3 linked regions of the Canis lupus familiaris genome follow. The protein of the gene in region 3 purifies or fractionates together with the protein of the main gene of each other region. This does not show direct contact. Links are inferred from orthologs where the notes say so. Each region holds a gene or a part of one and is shown on either strand. Other genes may lie near its edges.

Region 1 (7,086 bases), on a different chromosome or scaffold from region 3:
CACCATCAATTTCCAGAACTTTTTCATCTTCCCCAGTGAAACTCTCTACCCCTTTCCTCTAAAATTTAAAATTAGAATTACCATATAATCCAGGAAGTCTACTTCTAGATACATACCCAAAGAAATGAAAGCAGGGATGTGAACAGATTTTGTATACCCATGTTTATAACAGTATTATTCACAACTGCCAAAAGGTAAAAAGCAGTGGATGAATGGATAAACAAAACATGGTCTACTCATATAATGGAATATTATTCAATCTTAAAAAGGTAGAAAATTCTAGTATATACTTTAACATGGATGAACTTTGAAGACATTATGCTAAGTGAAATAAGCCAGTCATGAAATGACAAATATATGATTCCATTTATATAAGCTATCTAGAATAGGCAAACTCAGAGACAGAAAGTAGAATAGGAGCTTCTAGAAGCTGGGTGCAATGGAGAGTGGAGTGTTTAATTGGTAGACAGTTTTACTGGGGAAGATGAAAAAGTTCTAGAAATGGATGGTGGTGATGGCTGTACAACAACGTGAATGTACTTAATGCCACAGAACTGTTCACTTAAAAATGGTTAGAATGGTAAATTTTATGTTATGTGTATGTTACACCACAATAAAATAGCCATACTGTTCCATAGCAACTGCACCATTTCACATTGCCACCAGTAATGTTCAAGGGTTCCAGTCTCTCCATATCCTTGCCAATACTTGTTATTTTGTTTTATAATAGCCATCCTAAAGGTTTATATCAGCTATAGACTAGATTTTTAAAAACATTTTTATTTATTTGACAGAGCATGTGCACGCACAAATAACAGTGTGGGGGAGAGGGGCAAAGGGAGAGGGAGAGAGAGAATCTTCAGCAGAGTCTCCACTGAGTGCAGAGCCTGAGGCAGTGGCTCAATCTTCCGACCCTGAGATCATGATCAAGAGTTAGACTGAGCCATCCAGGTTCCCAGTCTCTCTTTCATTTTTAAGTTGCAGGGTAAAGTATAACAATCTTAAGTGTACAGCTGATGCATTTTTACATATGCACAAGCCCATGTGCACACTGCTCACATCAAGATATAGAACATTTCCATTCCCTGCAAAAGTTCCCCTGTACCCCAACCCAGAAGTCAACAGTGAATGATTTTTCTTTATGTAGATGAGTTTTGCTTGTTTTTCAAACTTGCCTTACCTTGCAACTGGGGAAACAGACAGCATGTACTTTTTGTACTTGACTCTGCTAGCAGTGGTGCCCATTTATCTGGGGGAGACTCATCCATGCTGTGTATATGAATTGTTTGCTCTTTTTCACTGCTGCATACTATTCCACAATGTGACCACACCACAGTTTATCTCTTTATTCTGCTGATGGACCTTTGGGTCGTTCCCAGAGTTTGCCTATTGTGAACAAAGCCACTATGAATATTAGCTATTGTGCATGTGACACACACCTAGGAGTGGTGGCTGGGTGATAGGCTTGGCATAGGTTTCACTTAAGAACTGCCATTTTCTGAATCTTTTATTTATTTATTTTTTAAGATTCTATTCATTTATTTGACAGAGAGAGAGCACAAGCAGGGGGAGCAGCAGAGTGAGAGAGAGAAGCAAGCTCTCTGATGAGGAGGGAGCCAGATGCGGGTTTGACCCTAGGACCCTGAGATCATGACCCCAGCCAAAGGCAGACCCTCAACTGACTGAGCCACCCAGACACCCCTGAATCTTTTAATATTTCTTAAAACCAGGAAAAATAAACCTCTACCTGGTGATTGTCTGAGTATTTAGTGGCTTCTAAGGTATAAGACTTTAAGCCTGTACCTGGAACACAGTGGGAGGCTCAGTAATTGCTGGCCTCAGCCCCAAACAGAGGAAGGGCCAGGCAGCTGGCAGGCGCTGTGGGGAGGTACCTGGTCCAGACCCTTGGGCAGAGAAGCCTTTCCCACACAGCACTCAAGACCCACAGCCAGCAGTCTGGGCAGCCCGAACTTGGCGCCCCTGCCCTGCTCTCACCTACCCAGCCTCCTCGCACTGTGATCCTGCTTCCTCAGGCCCAGCATTGGTGTCGCTTCCTGTGCACTTTGCGTATCACTCGATATTTATTGGGCACTAACTTTATGCCAGGCCCTGGGTGCCCCGGTACAAATGCCATAAAGACCCTCCCCCCTCAAATTACTCAGGAGGAGTGATTGCTTGGCGTAGGAAGCATGGGGACCCAGCCGAGCACTGACTCCGAGGTCGGTCAGCCACTTGAGTTCTAGCCAGATTCTGTATTTCCCCTGGAAGTTTGTTCTGGACAAACAAAATAATCTGATCCTCTGCGCCCCAGCAGGAGCCTAGGTCTGCCCGGAGCGCCTGTCCCGCGGGTCCAGGCCCTCGAACCACTGCCAAGCGCCCACCCCCGCGGCCCAGTGGCTCAGGCTGGCCGCCACGCCCCGCCCCCGCCGCCTGGCCAATGGCCTCGCGGTCCCGCCCCTCTCTGCCGCGCCCCCTCCTGCAGGGGAGGGTTCCGGGGTGTCTGCGGAGGTCCGCGGGTAGCCGGGTAGTGGCTACCGAGGTAAGTTAGCCGTCCCGGGCGCGGTCGGTCCCCTGGGCTCTGGGCGCGCCGATGGCTTTCGGAGCGGTGGTCAGCGGAGGCAAGAGCGGAGCGGGACGCGGAGCCCACCGGGGCGCACGGGGGTCCGGGGACGGGACTGGCTGCGCGGGGCTGGGTTAGAGCCGGTCCCGAGGCGCCGCGCTTCGCGGCAGCGCCGGGCGGGGCGGGGGGGCGTGGGTCGTGTGCTCGGGCGGGAGGGGAGGTTGGGGGAGCAGACAGGCGCTGGCTGCTGAGTGCCTCCAGCGCCCCGCAGGCCGGGGGTGACCCTGGGGCGAGGCCTAACCTCCCGGAGCTGCGGCCGCGCCTAGAGGCCGCCGTCCTCCCCCGGGCCTTGACAGTTCTCGGTGGTGACATCTGACCAGAACAGCCTCCCTCCCTCCCTCCGCGGGCCTGGTTCCTTCCAGGAATTGGAGCCAAATCAGTGAGGCCTCGCCTCTCTCCTCCGGGTGGTTATTTCTTTCCGGGACGCACTCAGCGCGTCCGGGGCATTCAAGGTAGGAACTTCTCGCAGCGTCAGTCCGCCCTTCTCTGAGACCGGAAGGAGCTGCTAGGAAAACATTGGGGGAAAAAAAAACACAACCAAAAAACGACGTTCTGTGCACGCTGTGGAGCCTTAAAAACTTCTGGAAGGACAGTCAGCGATCTGAGAACTGCGACTGCCGAACAGGGCAGGTTAGCATGCAGTCAGCCTTGTCTGAATGATTTACATACTATTCCTACAAGAGAAGGGACTACGTCTTTCAGCCTCCCTGGCACACCCCCATCTGAGGACTCCCCTCACCCAGGCAGTGGCCTTGGTCCCTCTGGGGCTGTGAGTCTCACTTGTTGCAGCAGCCCCTATGTTCTGTAAGGTGTATGGTGAACTGCAATGAGACAGCAAGTCCTGGGTTCAAATCCTGTTAGGGCCACTGGTCTGTTTGTACAACCCAGCATCATTTCTCCTCTCCTAAAGGAAAGAAAATTAGAATGTGCCTGCCTATAGTAGATCATGAATAAATATGAACAAATATGGGCTTCCTTCCTTTTTGGTTGGAGCATGTTCTACTTCCATACCCCCCAAACTCTTGTCCTTAGGGCTGCGGCTCAGATGCAGAAGAATGTATCACCTGACTCTATCCTTGTCCCTCCCCACATGCCATGGAAAGAAAGGAGAAAAGCGTCATTTAGCCACCTTAGAGTTCTTTGCTCATCTCCTGAACGCTCAGAGGACCCCTGCCCCATCTTCTTGAACCTCTTGACTTCTGTCATTGACACTTGCCACACCAATAATGTAGCACCTGGTGGCTGACAGAGCAAGGCATGCCACATGAGGCTATGAGGCCAGCAGACAGGACTACTGCCCCATTTCCCATATGGGTGACAGACTGGTGGCCCCAGCTCTGCTCTGCAACATTATCTTCTAGAGTCCCACCCAAGCCACACACCCACATTTTTGCTCCAGTCTGGCTCCTCTTCTGACCCCTTTCTTCCCAGAAAACCCACTTGGACATGTCATAGTGTCTCAGACTTGAGACACTATGATCACCTGATCAAAATGGAGCTTTGGAATCCTCTCTGCACCACAGCTTCTCCACCAGGTTCTCTGGCCTGCCTAAATGGCACCATCCATCTACCTAGTGCCTGAGGAGTTATCCTTGATTCTTCTCTCTCCCTCACTTCCCACATCCAGGACCCACTAGGAATCCAGCCACCTCTCACCATCTCCATGGGCAGCATTCTGGCCATACCCATCCTGTGGCCCCCTGCTTCAGCCTCCCAATTGTCTCCCTGCTTCCATCCTGGCCTCTGTACAATCCAGGTCCTCACAACTACCAGAGAGGTCTTTAACATAAGTCAGATCCTCTCCCTTCTCTGCTCAGAACCCCCAGTGGCTTCCCATTTCACTCCAAGAAACCCCCCAAAGCAAAAATAACAACCCCCAGAGTCCTTTCCTGCAACACTGCACATGAGCCACCACTTTTCAGAACCTCCTTGACCTTGATCCCTTCCCCTCCCCTTAGCTTTCTAAACCTGGACCACCCAGACCTGCTTTCTGTTCTTCAAACATGCCAAGGTCATTTCCACCTTAGGACTTTTAAATTGCTGTGCCCTCCGCCCAAAATGCTGATCTTGCAGCTCAGAATGGCTCAGCTCAAATGTCACCAATTCAGAAAGACTTACCTGACCACCTCTGTTCATGCAGCACGTCCTTCTCCAGGGATTCTGTCTCAAAACCCTGGTTTATTTTCTTCATAACTTGGTTACTATTTGGAATTCTTATTTATGTACGTGTTTACTGATTTGTTATCTGTCCCACCCCAATAGAATATAAATTGGATGATGGCAGAGATCTTGTCCCTCTTATTCCCTGCAGCTCTCCCTGAGGGGGAGGCAGGTAAGGAACTCACAGACAACCCCATCTATAATTGCAAATTGTGGTAAGTCCTACCTAAGCAAGTAGTAGCAATTGCTAGTAATTGAGGCACTTGTAAATGTCAGGCTTATGCAGTTGAGCTACTGTATTGTCAAAACAAGCCCTCTGAGTCATTTTAGGGGTAAAGAGAAGACTGTAGAAAGCCGGTAATTTGCCCTAGATCATACGGTGAGTGGAACTAGCCTCCTATCCTAAGAACATGTATGTGGCAAGCTTTAATGGTGGGCTTGCGGTCATGTTCTGGAAAGGACCTGACCTCTGATCTTTGCTCTTCTGCTAACTAGCAAGCCCCTTAATTTCTTGGTACCTCATTTTCTTGACCTTTAAAGTAGGATGATCCTATTATTATTTTGGGGCTTTTTTCTCTTTTTTCTAGTGTACCCCAAAGAAGCAGCAGTCCTTGGTGGAGTCCTCTTGCTATCAGCGACTAGGGACACATACAGACCTTGGGACCATGGCAGGGAGTCAGAACCCTCCCCAACACTGACCAACCTGCAGGGCGGGCAGAAATGGGGCCTAGATCTGGATCTGATTTCTTTCTTTCTTTTGGATATGATTTCTTTTTTTTTCTTTCCCGGATATGATTTCTTTTGGTCATCAATTTCATTTTTAAGTAGGTTTATTGAGGGCCTCTGGGACTCAGGCAGTAATAAAATTGGTTGATTAAAGAAAAAAGCAAACATTGCAGAGAGTTGAGAAAGAGAAGTGATTGCCTTCTGTCCAACCCCACTCCCAACTCTGTTGCCATATGTGGTGTGTTTTCTTTCAGTCCTTTTTTCCCTCTCCATCCATCCTTTTATGGGCCAGAGCCTCTGTGTCACTGTAGAACCTAGACAGCGATGACGTTTGCTGAGGACAAGACTTACGAGTATATCCGCCACCATTTCAGCAATTTTGGCCGTATTCATGTTCTGGAGATACTCCCTTACTTGTCCTGCCTTACAACAAGCGACCAGGTGAGCAGGGGCGTGACAGCTGACCCGGGGCGGGGGGGGGGGGGGGGGGGGGGGGGGGGGCAGGGGCGCCAGAGCTTTGCCCAGAGCCAGGGCCAACTCCTTCCTTCTCTGTCATCTGCATCCTGCTTTTCTTTCTTTTTAAATTTTTTAAAGATTTTTTTTTTAAATTTGAGATAGAGAGCAGAGGGAGAGGGAGAAGCAGACTTCCTCTTCCCGCACAGGAAGCCCGATGTGGGGCGTGATCCCAGAACCTGGGATCATGGCCTGAGCTGAAGGCAGGCACTTAACTGCTTAACCGACTGAGCCACTTGGGCACTCCATCCTGCTTCTTGACCTTGATGCTTCTCTAACTCGGAGAATGAAGTGTGATTCAGGCTGGCCTTTGCGACGTGGCTGAGCTCCCTCTCGTGTCCATATGGTGTAGTGCTAAAATATAGGGTGCTGGCTGCCTGAGATTTCTGGGCCTCAGTCCCATCTCCTGCTTCCATTGGGACTTTACTTTGTCTTTCTTATCGTTGTTCGTGCTGTGTTGACTCCATTCTCCTTGTCAGGGGACCCTGTCCTGACAGGGAGCCCAGGGCTCTGTTTCGAGAGTTCACGAGAGCCAGACTGCTCTGCTGTGGCCCCAAGTGAAGTGGAGCTGGCCGCCTCCTAGATTTAGCTGCTCCCAGAGGGCACCAGCACTCTGCTTCCACCACGAAGCTGTGGTGGTGGTGGCGCCGCAGGCCTGTGGCTGATGGGGGGAGGTGGTGGTGTCCGGCCCCCTCCCTTGTATCTGGGGGCTTGTGGGGATGCCTTGTGACTCATTTTGCAGTAAATGTTTCCTGTGGGTTTTCATTTCTGCTGTCTGGTTGCTCATCTGTATGTGGGATTTCAGTGGATCTAGAACCCCTGTCGCCCTGAGATTCCTTATCAGGATCTTCCAGGGCCCCATGCTCCTGATTATTAGGGTTGGCTTTCTCTTACTGTCCCTTTTGCCCCCTTTTATCTTTTGTTCCCTCTACACCCTTTCCTACTCTGCTAATCCAAACCCTTTCTTTTTGCCTTGGGGGCTGCATAAACAAACCATAGGTTTTGGGGATAGACTAACTGGGATCTGTCTGTAGGCTCTTTACTTCTGCTAAGTAAGAAGTACTTAC
Region 2 (7,086 bases), on a different chromosome or scaffold from region 3:
GATGTGTTCACAGAGCTGAGAAGTAGAAAGCCTCATGGTAGTGTTCACTAGAGAATAAATCTAAATTGTTTTGAGCATCTAATCAGATTGAGAATGAGGGGAAAGGGACTATTTTTTGCTCCATTTTGTCAAATATACATGCTTGAATTCTGGGAATTTTACAAAAATGTCCTTCATACCTTTGGATTTCTAGCTGAATAACTCTGCTATGGAAATGTGGGCAACTAGAAACTTTCTATGAGATAAATAAGTAATGTATAGTCATTGTTTTTTAGGCTAGTCATCTGGTATTGGCAAAAGGACACAGATTTGCAGCCTGAGGACTGGTGTTCAAGCATAAGCTCTAATATTAACTAGCTGTGTGACCCTGATAAAACCCTTACCTCTCCCAGTCTGTTTCTTTATTGTCGAATAAGAAAGAATCCTTCATAGGAGAACTACCCTGGGGATTAAATGTTAAAGGTGCTTTGTAAACTATAACACTACACAATTATCAACCATCTATTGCATTGTAATAGATGAGTCAGGCATGAGGTCTGACACAGAGCTGATGCACAATATTTATAGTATAAATAAGTAAACCCCACTGGTGAGCTGGGTGATCTCAGGCAAGAAACATCTCAGTTTCTCTCTTTTGCCTTCTCTGATAACCACCTCCCCCTAGTTCATTGGGCTCCAGACATACAGTCCTTTTTCCTGTTCTTCCAGCAGAGCAAGCTCACCCCTGCCGCAGGTCCTTTGGACCTGCTGTTCCCTCTTCCTGAAACATTCTTCCCCAGCTCTTTGCATGACTTTCCAGTTCTCATCAATCCAGTCTTAGATAAAATGTCATTTATTCAGAGGCTTTATTATTCAGTGAGTAATATTCCTTCCACGTCATTCACCCAATATATATTCCTGTTTTATTTTCTCCTTAGCACTTATTACTATCTGTTGACTTATTACACTCTCCTCCACTAGAAAAAAAAAAAAAAAACACTATACTAGAGCTTCCCTGTCCACAACTGTATTCCAATGCCCAAGATAACATCTAACTCATAGTAAACTCTCAATAAGCATTTGAATAAATGAAGTTGAAATATGATAATTATATTAAAAGTTTCATTTTCATTCATTCAACAAATATTTTGTATGTACCTATGAGAGCCCAGGTTCTATTTCAAGATGCTGGGGATTCAACTGAGAACAAAATAGACAAAAATCTCTTTCTTGGGGTATGACTACTAGTGGGGAAACAAAGAAAAAACAAGGTTAAAAAGTAAAAACATACTATATCTGATAATGTTAAGTGTTAAGAAGGAAAAAAATAATAAAGCAGGAAAGAAGGACATGAAATATGTGTGGAGGTGTTAAATTTTAGATAGGGTAATCAGAGAATGAAATGAGAGGCTGAGCCCTGAGGATATACGGGGGAAATGCATTCCAGGTCATGGTAACTGGCACAATAATGAAGGTGTTGGAGAGTAACACAATAAAGGATGAGACAGGGAGGTTAGGGGAGTTGGACTGTATAGAGCCCTTTGGCTAGACTAAGACTTTGGCTTTTACCAAGAGCGAGATGGTAAACTGTTGAAGAATAGGAGCATCAGGGTATCATGATGCGGCTTGTTTTAAGAGGATTGCTGGGGCTGCTGTGCTTCGAATACCTGAAGGGCAAGGGAAAGGACCAGTGAAGACGCTACAATAACCTTGGCAAGAGATGATGGCTCCCCAAGACTCGGGGAGGAGGAGTTGTGGGGATGGAAGATGAAATTTTGGATCCGACAGTCACATTGGGAGAGTTTAAGGGGGAGGTCTGCTCTGGGAGTTAGAACTTGAAACTCAAATGGTATTATTTATTATCAGCAGTAAACCAATCATGCAGATGGAGTCCTGACTCTACCACATCCTGGTAGCAAACTGTTGAGTCGACTATTTCTAGGTTCTGGGCCTCAGTTTCCCTAAGTAAAATGGAGAAAGTGTTCCCACATAACAAGGGCCTTCAAGAGAATGAAATGAGAAGTGTTGAAGGCTGACAGTGAGCAAGGTGAAAACCTTTGGCTTAAGACTGCACGAACCTGTACCAGAGGGAGGGGGCTGCTGTTAAACCAGAGACTGACTTTCAATTCCACAGCACACACTCCGAGAACCCCCAGCAGCGACCAAAGAGAAGCGTGTGGGCCCCCTACCGCAAGGCGGTCCGCAGAGCCCAAACCTCGCGAGATTTGTTGGCCGGGCAACGTCCCACATCTCGCGAGACCAAGGTTTATGAGTGACTATCGGCCGGTTAGGGCTTGCTGGAAAGATGGAGTATCGCGGGTTGGGCACCGTAGAGGCCGCGGACAGTGGAGGGGCCCGGCCATACAACAGCTCCGAGGAACGAGAAGGACGGGAACCGGACGGGCTGCGCTTCGACCGCGAGAGGGCGCGCCGCCTCTGGGAAGCAGTGTCCGGGGCCCAACCAGTGGGGAGGGAGGAAGGTGAGTCCGGGGACCTCAGAGGCAGCGAGTTCAACCGCCCGCTCATTTCACGGGGAGGGGCGGGAGCGCGGGGCGGGAGCACGGACAGCCCCCGGGTCTCCGGTCACACCCCCTGGCGCCCGGCCCGCCCCCTTGCGTGACGCGCCCCGGGACTCCTGGACTCGTGCACCCCAGCAGGGCCTGGGTACCATGGGCCAGGCACCCCGAAAATTGAGGCCGCAGCACCACAGGAATGAGGTCTCCGGGCTTAAATGGTCAAGGCCCCTCTCGTACTCCGGTCCCTCCATTCTCACCCACCAGAGCGCAGCTCTTCTTCAACTCTTCTTAAACGACTTTCATTCCTATCCATCCCTTCTCGGAGACCCACGGAGCCTTCCCCGCCAGACTACTAGCCCCCCACCATTTCTCACAGACTCCATCGTCCCAGTCCACAGGTTCCCCCACCCCTATGTCCCTTGCCTCCTTTGCATCCTTTCTCTCATACCCCACACTGCCAAGGACTCCAGAAGGTCTTCTTTTTTTTTTTTTTAAACATTTAAGATTTTTTTTTTTTTAAGATTTATTTATTCATGAGAGACACAGAGAGAGAGGGGTAGAGAGAGAAGCAGGCTCCACGCAGGGACCCCGACGTGGGACTCGATCCCAGGTCTCCAGGATCACACCTTGGGCTGCAGGCGGCACTAAACCGCTGAGCCACCCGGGCTGCCCGTCCAGAAGGTCTTCTTAACCCTATGTTCCTCCTGGCCTTGGTGTCTTGAACCTGATTTACCCCTGTTTCTAGGTGTCTGGTCTCAACTGCCTGGGTCCTTTTTATGAGGTGAGGGCCGGGAGACTGAGAAACTGGCCAGAGTATACTTTGGCTCCAGCTTCTTTGTATCCCATGCTTGTGCCAAAGTTGTGGAGAACAGGATACAGGAGAGGCCACTTCTGGGCTGAAAGCTTCCCAGCTTGCTCTGCATTTGACCTGGCACTGGGTAAAGTGGAGATAGAGGAGGATGGTAAAAGCTGGCCTGACTTGGTTGTGTGACCTCTTTCATAGTCCTTAGCAGTTAGCTGCTTAACTCTTAGCCAGAAGTACAAGAACTGTTTGGCCTGTGCTAATCCTGTCAAGTAATCTATAGGGAAATCAGATAATTTGTTTACTTGGTGAGCAGACTAATCTTGGAAAGTTTAATGTATTGCTTGTGAACTGATTACCCTGGAATAAAATGGAATTTTGGCCACATCCAAGGAAGGTATGTTTACATTTGGGGTGGTACACAGACCTATGCCCTTTTGTATGCTTCTCCAATTTAAAAACTAGTCTAGTCTGACTCCTAAATTAATATGGGCCCTCTTTCTGCCTCATAATTTCAAACTTGTTTGATACAAATCCTCCCCCAAACACACCCCAATTTTCCTTTCACTAATTTGACAAACATTCATTGATACCTGCTCAGTACCCAGGATGGCTGGGCATCAGAGCTACAGAGATGAGGAAGATACTGTCCTTGTCCTGAAGGGATTTTATAGTTCTAGTCCAGGAAGCAGACACCAAAACAGTTTCAGCTTAATGTAATGGGTGCAGTGAAGAAGAATGTATAAGAATTGGTTGTGCACAAAGAGGGAGTGACCTTTGTCCTTGAGGGATAAGAAGGGATCGCTTGATCTTGAAGCAGAGAACACAACAGCTGTGCTCTAAAAAGTGAATTGCTTATGTGTCTATGAATGTACAGTGTCACTTAGGACCCAGCTCATTTTTCCTACTCTCCTCACTTTCCAATAATTATATGAGGCCTAAGTAGATACCTGTAACCCCAAGTTCTACTCCTCTTTGTTTTGTTTTTCTCTTAGCAACTTTTTTTTTTTTTTAACATTTATTTATTTATGAGAGAGAGAGACAGAGAGGGAGAAGCAGGCTCCATGTCGGGAGCTCGATGTGGGACTCGATCCCGGGACTCCAGGATCGCGCCCTGGGCCAAAGGCAGGCGCCAAACCACTGAGCCACCCAGGGATCCCCTCTCTTAGCAACTTTTATTGATAATTTATATACCATAAAATTCACCCATTGTAACTGCACAATGCAATGATTTTTTAAGTAAAAGTACAGAATTGCGTTTTAGAATATTTCCATCACTCCAGTTAATTCCTTTGTGCTTCTTTTTTTTTTTTTAATTTTTATTTATTTATGATAGTCACACAGAGAGAGAGAGAGAGAGAGAGAGGCAGAGACACAGGCAGAGGGAGAAGCAGGCTCCATGCACCGGGAGCCTGACATGGGATTGGATCCCAGGTCTCCAGGATCGCGCCCTGGGCCAAAGGCAGGCGCCAAACCGCTGCGCCACCCAGGGATCCCCCTTTGTGCTTCTTTACATTAAACCTCCACTCTTACCTTCTGCCCTAGGCAACCACTGTACTCTATAAATTTACCTATTCTGAACATTTCATGTAAACAAAATCATACAATATGTAGCCTTTTGCATTTGGCTTCTCAACATGTTTTTGAGGTTCAGCCAAGTCGTACTGTGTATTAGTACTTAATTACTTTTTGTTGCTAAATAGAATCCCCATTGTATAGATCTTGCTTTTTTATTTTTTCTTATTTTTATTTTTTTTTAATTTTTATTTATTTATGATAGTCACACAGAGAGAGAGAGAGAGAGAGGCAGAGATACAGGCAGAGAGAGAAGCAGGCTCCATGCACCGGGAGCCCGACGTAGGATTCGATCCTGGGTCTCCAGGATCACGCCCTGGGCCAAAGGCAGGCGCCAAACCGCTGCGCCACCCAGGGATCCCGATCTTACGTTTTTAAATTTTTTTTTTAAGATTTTATTTATTTATTCATGAAAGACACAGAGAGAGAAAGGCAGAGACATAGGCAGAGGGAGAAGCAGGCTCCATGCAGGGAGCCTGACGTGGGACTCGATCCTGGGACCCCAGGATCAGGCCCTGGACTGAAGGCGGCGCTAAACCGCTGAGCCACCTGGGCTGCCCTAGATCTTGCTTTTTTATCCTTTGACAGTCTCTGCCTTTTGAGTGGGCTCTTTAGACTATTCACATTTAATTTCATTATTGATATGGCTAGATTTACATTTTCTACTTTGCTGTTTATCTCCTTTACATTTTTTTTTTCTCTCCTTTACATTTTGTTCTTCCCTTTCTCCTTTACTGACTTCTTTTAAGTATTTTTTAGTGGGGATCCCTGGGTGGCGCAGCGGTTTGGCGCCTGCCTTTGGCCCAGGGCGCGATCCTGGAGACCCAGGATCGAATCCCACATCAGGCTCCCGGTGCATGGAGCCTGCTTCTCCCTCTGCCTGTGTCTCTGCCTCTCTCTCTCTCTCTCTGTGACTATCATAAATAAATAAAAATTAAAAAAAAAAAAAGTATTTTTTAGTGGACCATTTTAATTTCTGTTAATATTTTTTATACTTTTTTTTTATTTTACTTTTTAATTTTATTTTCTTAGTACCCAAGGGACTACAGGATGCATCTTAACTCATCACAGTCTACTTCAAATTAATACTAACTTAATTCTGATAAAATATAAAAACATTCTTCTAATAGTGGTCCATTCCTCCCCCTCCTTTGTACTATTATTGTCATATATATTACATTGATATGTTATAAGCCTAATTGTTCAGTGTCATAATTATTGATTTATACAATATGTCCTTTTTTCTTTTTTTTTAAGATTTTACTTATTTATTCGTAAGAGAAACAGAGAGAGGGATCCCTGGGTGGCGCAGTGGTTTGGCGCCTGCCTTTGGCCCAGGGCGCGATCCTGGAGACCCGGGATCGAATCCCACATCGGGCTCCCGGTGCATGGAGCCTGCTTCTCCCTCTGCCTGTGTCTCTGCCTCTCTTTCTCTCTCTGTGTGACTATCATAAAATGAACAAAAAAAATAATTAAAAAAAAAAAGAGAGAGAGAAACAGAGAGAGAGAGGCAGAGACACAGGCAGAGGGAGAAGCAGAAGCAGGCTCCATGCAGGAAGCCTGACATGGGACTCGATCCCAGGTCTCCAGGATCACACCCTGGGCTGAAGGCGGCGCTAAACTGCTGAGCCACCTGGGCCACCCAGTATGTCCTTTTTAAAAAGATTTATTTATTTATTTATTTATTTGGAGGGGCAGGCAATGGGGAGGGGCAGAGGGAGATGAGGAGAGAATCTCAAGCAGACTCCACTGCTGAGTATGGAGTTATATGCAAGTCTCACTGTCACAACCCTGAGCTCACAACCTAAGCCAAAACCGAGATCAGGTGCCCAACTGACTGTGCTACCCAGGCACCCCTATACAATATGTCTTTTAAAGAAGTTAACAGAAGTAATTAGGAAAACAATATTTATAATATCTTTTATATTAACCCACATATTTACCATTTCTGATGTTCTTTTTTTCTTCCTCTGGATTCAAGTTATACTTACTACCACTTCCTTTTGGCCAAAAGGGCTTCCTTGGGATCCCTGGGTGGCGCAGCGGTTTGGCACCTGCCTTTGGCTCAGGGCGCGATCCTGGAGACCCGGGATCGAATCCCACATCGGGCTCCTGGTGCATGGAGCCTGCTTCTCCCTCTGCCTGTGTCTCTGCCTCTCTCTCTCTGTGACTATCATAAATAAATAAAACTTAAAAAAAAAAAAAAAAAACACA
Region 3 (7,086 bases):
TGACTTTAAGTTAAGACAGGATTATATTTTTCTCTCCTTCAACAAGAAGTTTGAATACAGTTCAGAACTAGACTGGCAGCTCCACAATACCCCAAATCTCTTAGGGTACTAAGTCCCTTCTACCTTCCTGCCTGTCACTTTGTGATGCCAAGACAGCAGCCAGAACTCTGCCATTACATTAAAATTAAAGGACTGTTTTATTAAAATAAGAAGGGAATGGCAATAGATAGAATCACGTGTATTAGCTGAGTAGGTCCTTTTAAAGAACTCTGCAAGAAGCCTCATCAGCGATTTGGTACACTTTATAGGCCACCTCTCACTGCCTGTTGGCTGCAAACTGATTTTTTTTTTTAGGTGAGCACATTATTACCAAATTAAAATCAGGGTTTTGTTAATAAGAAGGAGGAGATAATGAGTATTGGATAGCTATCTCAGTCATTTGACATATTTTTAGACTTTTATTTTTTATTTTTATTTTTTTAAGATTTTATTTATTTATTTATTTATTTGTTTGTTTGTTTATTCATGAGAGACAGAGAGAGAGAGAGAGAGAGGCAGAGACACAGGCAGAGGGAGAAGCAGGCTCCATGCAGGGACCCCGACATGGGACTTGATTCCAGGTCTCCAGGATCATACCTTGGGCTGCAGGCAGTGCCAAACCGCTGTGCCGCCGGGGCTGCCCCTAATTTTAGATTTTTAAAACTTAGGTTGAAAAAGATTCATACACCCAACTTACATCAAACTTATTTAAAAGTTTCCAATACCTGAATTGAGTATCTGTTTTTAAATTTAAATTTAAGCTGGTTAAAATTAAATAACATTTAAAATTCAGCTTATGTCACATTTCAAAAGCTCAGTTGCCCATATAGCTAGTGGCTACCGTACTGGTCAGTGCAGATCTAGACACTGATTAGCTGTGCTGCTTGCTTCAGCATTCTAATTTCTAATGGAAATTTATCATAATATAGCTTAGAAATTACCAGGCTTTTAAATTGCATATACAATGGAAGTATAACGTGGTTTAGAGGCAGCACACATAACAACAACTACTATTTATCAGGCATCTATTGTATGTTAGACCTTTTGCTAGGTGTACATAGCAAAAAAAAAAAAATATATATATATATATGTATATATAAATATATAAATTCCTTAATTTTATGAACATGGGCACCAAAGCTTAGGGATATTAATTTGTCCATTGTCACAGCTAATAATTGATGGAGTCAGGATTTGATATTAGGTTTACCTGACTCTACTATACTTTATCTAATGAAGACCCGTTTAAAAATCCCCACTGTGAATGGAACATTGAATGTAAATCTGGCTTTGGTTTGATTCCTGACTTTATCCCTGATTTTAATGCCTTGTTTAATGAACCTTGAAGGAGGGGGGAAAAAAAGAGCTTTTTTTGTACATTGTTAATCGAGCACTATTCAGAACAGAAAAATTATAAAATTAAGTAAAATTTAAAAATTTTACATATTCCCTGTAGAAAATTCAGAAAGCATGAGAAAAGGTGCAAAAGCATTAGAAATTACCCACATTTCTCCCACCAGAGGCATGTTTAACTTTTTGGCATATTTCTTTCCACCCTACTCTGTGATGTTTTATGTAGTGGATGACATTCGTAAACAGTTGTGTTTTATGTTACCCTCTTCATATATCTAAGCATTTCTTCCTGTCTTTAAACACTCCTTATAAACATACATTACAAATGGCTATCCTACAAGGAACTTTGCAACTTCAACCCAAATCACCAAAAGACTCTAAAGAAAGAAGTAACTTCCCGTACTTTTAAAAGCAATAGAAAAACATATCCTAATCTCAGGCAAAATGGTAACTTCCTGACAAATTTTCAGTATCTGAGGTCTTGATATAAACCTGCCATAAGAGGCGCCTGGGTGGCTCAGTCGGTTAAGGTCATGATCCAGCTCAGGTCATGATCCCCAGGGCCTGGAGAATCAAGCCTCAGTCAGGCTCCCTGCTCAGTGGGGAGTCTGCTTCTCCCTCTCCCTCTGCCCCTTCCCTGCTTGTGCTCTTTCTCTCATTCTCTCCCAAATAAATAAAATCTTAAAAAAAAAAAATCTGCTGTAAAATGATGACTTCTCAAAGACTAAAGTATTTAAGAAATACTTTCACAGAGGAAAAAAAATGACTAAAAAAAAAGGACTTTTAGGTCCCCAGAGTTGGGGGTGGGGGATAGGAGATTACTGAAGCCTACAGTCCCCTAAGTAATGTAAAGAGAGCATACCATGCCACCGATGGGGAAGTCCCAGTGGATGCTGTTAGTTTTACAAGAGAATTACTTTCATTCTTAAGACTAATTTTCTTCATGTGTCCATTTTCACATTTCAAAGTGAAATGTTGCCCTGAAAAATGGTAAAATATAGAGACATAGGAGTAGGGGTATGGGCAAAATGGGTGAAGACGAGTGAGAGGTACTAGTCTTCGGTTATGAAGTGAATAAGTCATAGGATTAAAAGGCACAGCGTTGGGACGCCTGGGTGGCTCAGCGGTTTAGCGCCTGCCTTCAGCCCAGGGTGTGATCCTGGGGTCCCAGGATGGAGTATCGAGTCTCACATCGGGCTCCCTGCATGGAGCCTGCTCCTCCCTCTGCCTATGTCTCTGTCCCTCTCTCTGTGTGTGTCTCCCATGAATAAATAAATAAAATCTCTTTAAAAAATTAAAAAATAAAAGGTACAGCATAGGGAATACAGTCAATGGTATTGTAATGGTGTGTATTGTGGTAGATGGTAGCTACACTTGTGGTGAGCGCAGCATAACTTAGAGTTATTGAACTACTATGTAATACACCTGAAACTAATGTAACATTGTATGTCAACCATACCCAAATAAAAATAAAAGTAAAAAAAATAATAATAAAAATAAAAGTAAAATATAGTAGCTTAAAAAAAATCAGGAAGAAATACTCTAACAGACGTCTGGGTCTGTTTTTTGTGTGTGTTGCAGGTGAAGTTGGCGATTGGAAAAATTTGTTCAGTGAGACTCAGAACCAGGAAATGGATGCAAAATTCAAAGAGTGCTTAACAGGCACTTCCCTAGGAGCAAAGCTGAAGTATGAATCTTATTGCCAAGCTTGATTCTGGTCATTCAGTAGGCATGGATATTTCATTTTTCTGAATAATAATTAAATATAAATAACAAAGTAAGTTGATCAAATAATAATGATAATTCAGTAACATTTATATGTAAATAATGTGAATTTAATAATAATGACAACATTTGAAGTTTTTGAGCTCAGACTTGTTTGTTCGCTTGTTGAGGAAAGGCCATTTAGCTGTCCAAAGGGGACACTCTTGCTAATGTGGCATACTGGGCTTTTCATTTCTTTCATGCTTTGGGTTCACATAAAAGCATAGGCAGATACTATTAGAAATATGCCTAATTGGTGTTTGAGTGTAAGACAGCCCTCCCAATGATGTATATTTTTTTGTCTTCCCAGAATGATTCCTCTATCTCTCACTACAGATCGAAGTACTTGTGGTAGCTATCTCAAACCTACTGTTAGGGGAAATGTAATTCCAACTCGGCACTGAAGTAAATGAATAAATCCTGTCCTCATAGTTCAAGGAAAATGCATTGCTCATCTACTCTCTGCATGTTCCTGCATTAGACCCTAAGGAGGCCCCATTCTTTTTATTTTTAAGATTTTATTTATTTATTTGACAGAGAGAGACAGAGAATGAACACAAGCAGGGGGAGCAGCTGGCAGAGGGAGAGGGAGAAACAGGCTCCACACTGAGCAGGGAGCCTGGCATGGGACATGGGGCTTGATCCCAGGACCCTGGGATCATGACCTGAGCCAAAGGCAGACGCTTAACTGACTGAGCCACCCAGATGCCCCTGGAGGCCCCTCTCTTAAGGGGCCTTTAGTTCAAAGATAAATATTAGATACTGTGTTATTGTGGCATAAAGGCTTTTCTACCACGGAGCCCCAGGTGGTCATGTAGAATTTACAAGAGAAGCTAGAGCATGTTTTGGGAAAAACCTCTTAATCCTTAATCTTCATACCATAGCTGGTTACAGTTAAGAATAGAATGGTTCGGGATCCCTGGGTGGCGCAGCGGTTTGGCGCCTGCCTTTGGCCCAGGGCGCGATCCTGGAGACCCGGGATCGAATCCCACGTCGGGCTCCCGGTGCATGGAGCCTGCTTCTCCCTCTGCCTGTGTCTCTGCCTCTCTGTCTCTCTCTGTGTGACTATCATGAATAAATAAATAAAATCTTTTTTTAAAAAAAGAATAGAATGGTTCATAGAAAAGTTACATAAAATTTCATTGAGAAAGACTGAAGGGTTACTATTTCTGGTAGTATGGTGGATTACATATACTGAAAACTCTTCCCTCAGAACACCAAGAAAATTTGGATAAAAATTCTTAAAAATACTTTTAGTTGATGGGGAGCCTGGGTGGTATAATCAGTTAAGTGGCTAACTCTTGGTTTTGGTTTGGGCCATGATCTCACGGGTCGTGAGATCAAGCTGTGACAACAGGCTCCACAATCAGCAGGAAGTCTGCTTGAGATTCTCTCTCTCCTTCCTTTGCCATTCTCCCAACCCATCTCTCTCTCTCTCTCTTTCTCTCTCTCTCTTTCTCTCTCTCCCTCTCCAAAATAAATAAATAAATCTTAAAAAAAAAAAACCAATTCATTTCTATTTAAGCACTTAAGGACACAGTAGTTTTTGCTCAACATCACATTTCCGGTACAGGGCTACACATAGTAGGCACTCAATAAATATATATTGAATAAAGGGGATTCCTTTTTTTGACAAGAGGTTGTTTTTAGAATATTAGATCAATTATGATGCTTTTGATGTAATAAACATAATATGAAACACAAATTGGTTAGCAGGAGAAAGAAGAGGAGGGGAGGATTCTTTTAACGGACTGGTCTAGGCTGTGTCTGGTTCAGATGCGGCTTGATCCAGAGCTCAAACAAGGACCCGATTCTTAATCTTCGCTTCTCAGCAGTACTCTCTCATGTAGGCTCCATTTCAAGAGAGGTTTCTCCTTGTGCAGTATTGGGAGACAGAAACCACTGTATGTTAAGCATAAGGATTTAGTAGAAAATGAATGCATGCATGTATGTTGGAAGGGCTGGCAGGATGGAAACCAGGAGACTTCCACTATATCTGCTATCCAGAGTTTAGGATTCTGTCACTGCCACTGCTTCCACCACTGCTGCCACCACATATGCCCTATGCCCTTGGAGAATTGACAAGGGAACTTGAGTCCAGCTCCTGTATGCACCACTGAGCACAGGAGCTTGCTTATCAGCTCGTTCTTTCACAGGACAACCTTTTCCTCCCTTCTGTCTTTCAAACCTTGTGCCATTGTTCATCAGTCATTGGCAGAACCCAAATTATGTCCAGAATTTTAACTCCACAGACATCTGGAAAATGTGATTTTAACCTTCCATACATTATAATCCAGGGATTAGGAAGACATAGAAGGGAGTGAGAACGGAAGCTAAATAAAAATATTATCTAGTGCAGTCCACTGCTTTGGCTAATAATCTTTCAAGCAAACAACAGAACTATGTTCCCACCTAATGCTGCCATCCCCTCCTTCAAAGGAAAAACATGTTTATCCTATCCCCTAATCTCTACACCCATTGCTATGTGATCTTTCTTCCTCTTCTCTTTTAGTTACAAATTCCACCTTAATACACTCTAACCTAGGGGCATCTGGGTGACTCAGGTCATGATCCCGTGGTCCTGGGATCAAGTCCTGCTTTGGGCTCCCCACAGAGAGCCTGATTCTCCCTCTGCCTATGCCTCTACCTCTCTGTGTCTTTCATGAATAAATAAATAAAATCTTAAAAAAAAAAGACACTCTATTTTTTTAAAAGATTTATTTATTTATTTATGATAGACATAGAGAGAGAGAGAGAGAGGCAGAGACACAGGAGGAGGGAGAAGCAGGCTCCATGCCGGGAGCCTAACGTGGGACTCGATCCTGGGACTCCAGGATCGCGCCCTGGGCCAAAGGCAGGCGCTAAACCGCTGAGCCACCCAGGGATCCCCAAAAAAAGACACTCTAACCTAAAAACTGTCATGAAAAATTAAATTAACCACCACCAGCAAATCTCCTATAAAGGGACAGAAGGAAGCAATCAAAAGTAGTTCACTAATACCTACAAAAACAAAGCAAGGAAGAAAAATGTATACCTTCTGTGGTCCTTTATTCTGAAACAGGTCATGAGACCATAGTATCAATCAGCCCAGCCAGTTTGGTAACCCCTGTATTTCCTTGCTGGCCTGATGTTGTCATGAATCTGCAATATCCAGATGTAGTTTCAAATTCCTATTTGAGGAATTGTGTGTCCCCTAGTGGAAACAGCCCAATGTCATAGGAACAGGAAGCACTATTTTGCAAGTGCATAATTAGGTTTATTATTTTATTTTTTAAAAGATTTTAGGGACACCTGGATGGCTTAGCAGTTCAGCATCTGCCTTTGGCTCAGGGCGTGATCCCGGGTCCGGGGATCGAGTCCCGCATCAGGCTCCCTGTAAGGAGCCTGCTTCTCCTTCTGTCTAAGTCTGTGCCTCTCTCTGTGTGTCTCTCATGAATAAAAAAAATATTTAATTAAAAAAAGATTTCTATATATTTATTTGAGAGAGAGAGCATGCACACCCATGCACATGCACAAGGAGCAAAGGGAGAGGGAGAAGCAGACTCCCCACTGAGCAGGGAGACCAATGTTGGCTAACCCCAGGACACTGAGATCATGACCCGAGTGAGCCAAAGGCAGACACCTAGCTGCCAATTAAGCCACCCAGGCGCCCCAAACTAAGTAGGTTTAATGTGGGACACAACCCTCTCTTAATTTTACTGTTTCCTGAGTTCATGTATCTTGGCGATGGACAAAACAGCAATTTGGTTTAGCACATACACTGCCCATGAAGGGTAGTACACTCAGCTTGCTAAGTATTGTCTCCTACTTGGGGCTACACCTGAGTCCTCATTACTCCATCTTATTGTCCGATACGGCCAGCTACTTGGGGAAATGGGGTTCATAATAAAATCACTGAATCCTACATCAGTCACTTCTTTTTCTGTAAAA

The links.
Region 1: the proteins of EIF2AK2 (region 3) and MAVS purify together in Homo sapiens (affinity purification with western blotting; 3 studies listed by BioGRID and IntAct, with this or other methods). This does not show direct contact. The link is inferred for Canis lupus familiaris from reciprocal best matches to the Homo sapiens genes EIF2AK2 and MAVS.
Region 2: the proteins of EIF2AK2 (region 3) and ZNF346 purify together in Homo sapiens (affinity purification with mass spectrometry; 3 studies listed by BioGRID and IntAct, with this or other methods). This does not show direct contact. The link is inferred for Canis lupus familiaris from reciprocal best matches to the Homo sapiens genes EIF2AK2 and ZNF346.

Annotation. Positions count from the first base shown.
Region 1 is NC_049245.1:17,971,831-17,978,916, reverse strand, and holds the start of MAVS (mitochondrial antiviral-signaling protein), read left to right. Parts: upstream 1-2,520; 5' UTR 2,521-2,539; intron 2,540-5,760; 5' UTR 5,761-5,830; coding exon 5,831-5,947; intron 5,948-7,086.
Region 2 is NC_049225.1:37,185,652-37,192,737, reverse strand, and holds the start of ZNF346 (zinc finger protein 346), read left to right. Parts: upstream 1-2,237; 5' UTR 2,238-2,284; coding exon 2,285-2,459; intron 2,460-7,086.
Region 3 is NC_049238.1:29,692,319-29,699,404, reverse strand, and holds the start of EIF2AK2 (interferon-induced, double-stranded RNA-activated protein kinase), read left to right. Parts: upstream 1-3,110; 5' UTR 3,111-3,169; exon of another isoform or gene 3,170-5,030; intron 5,031-7,086.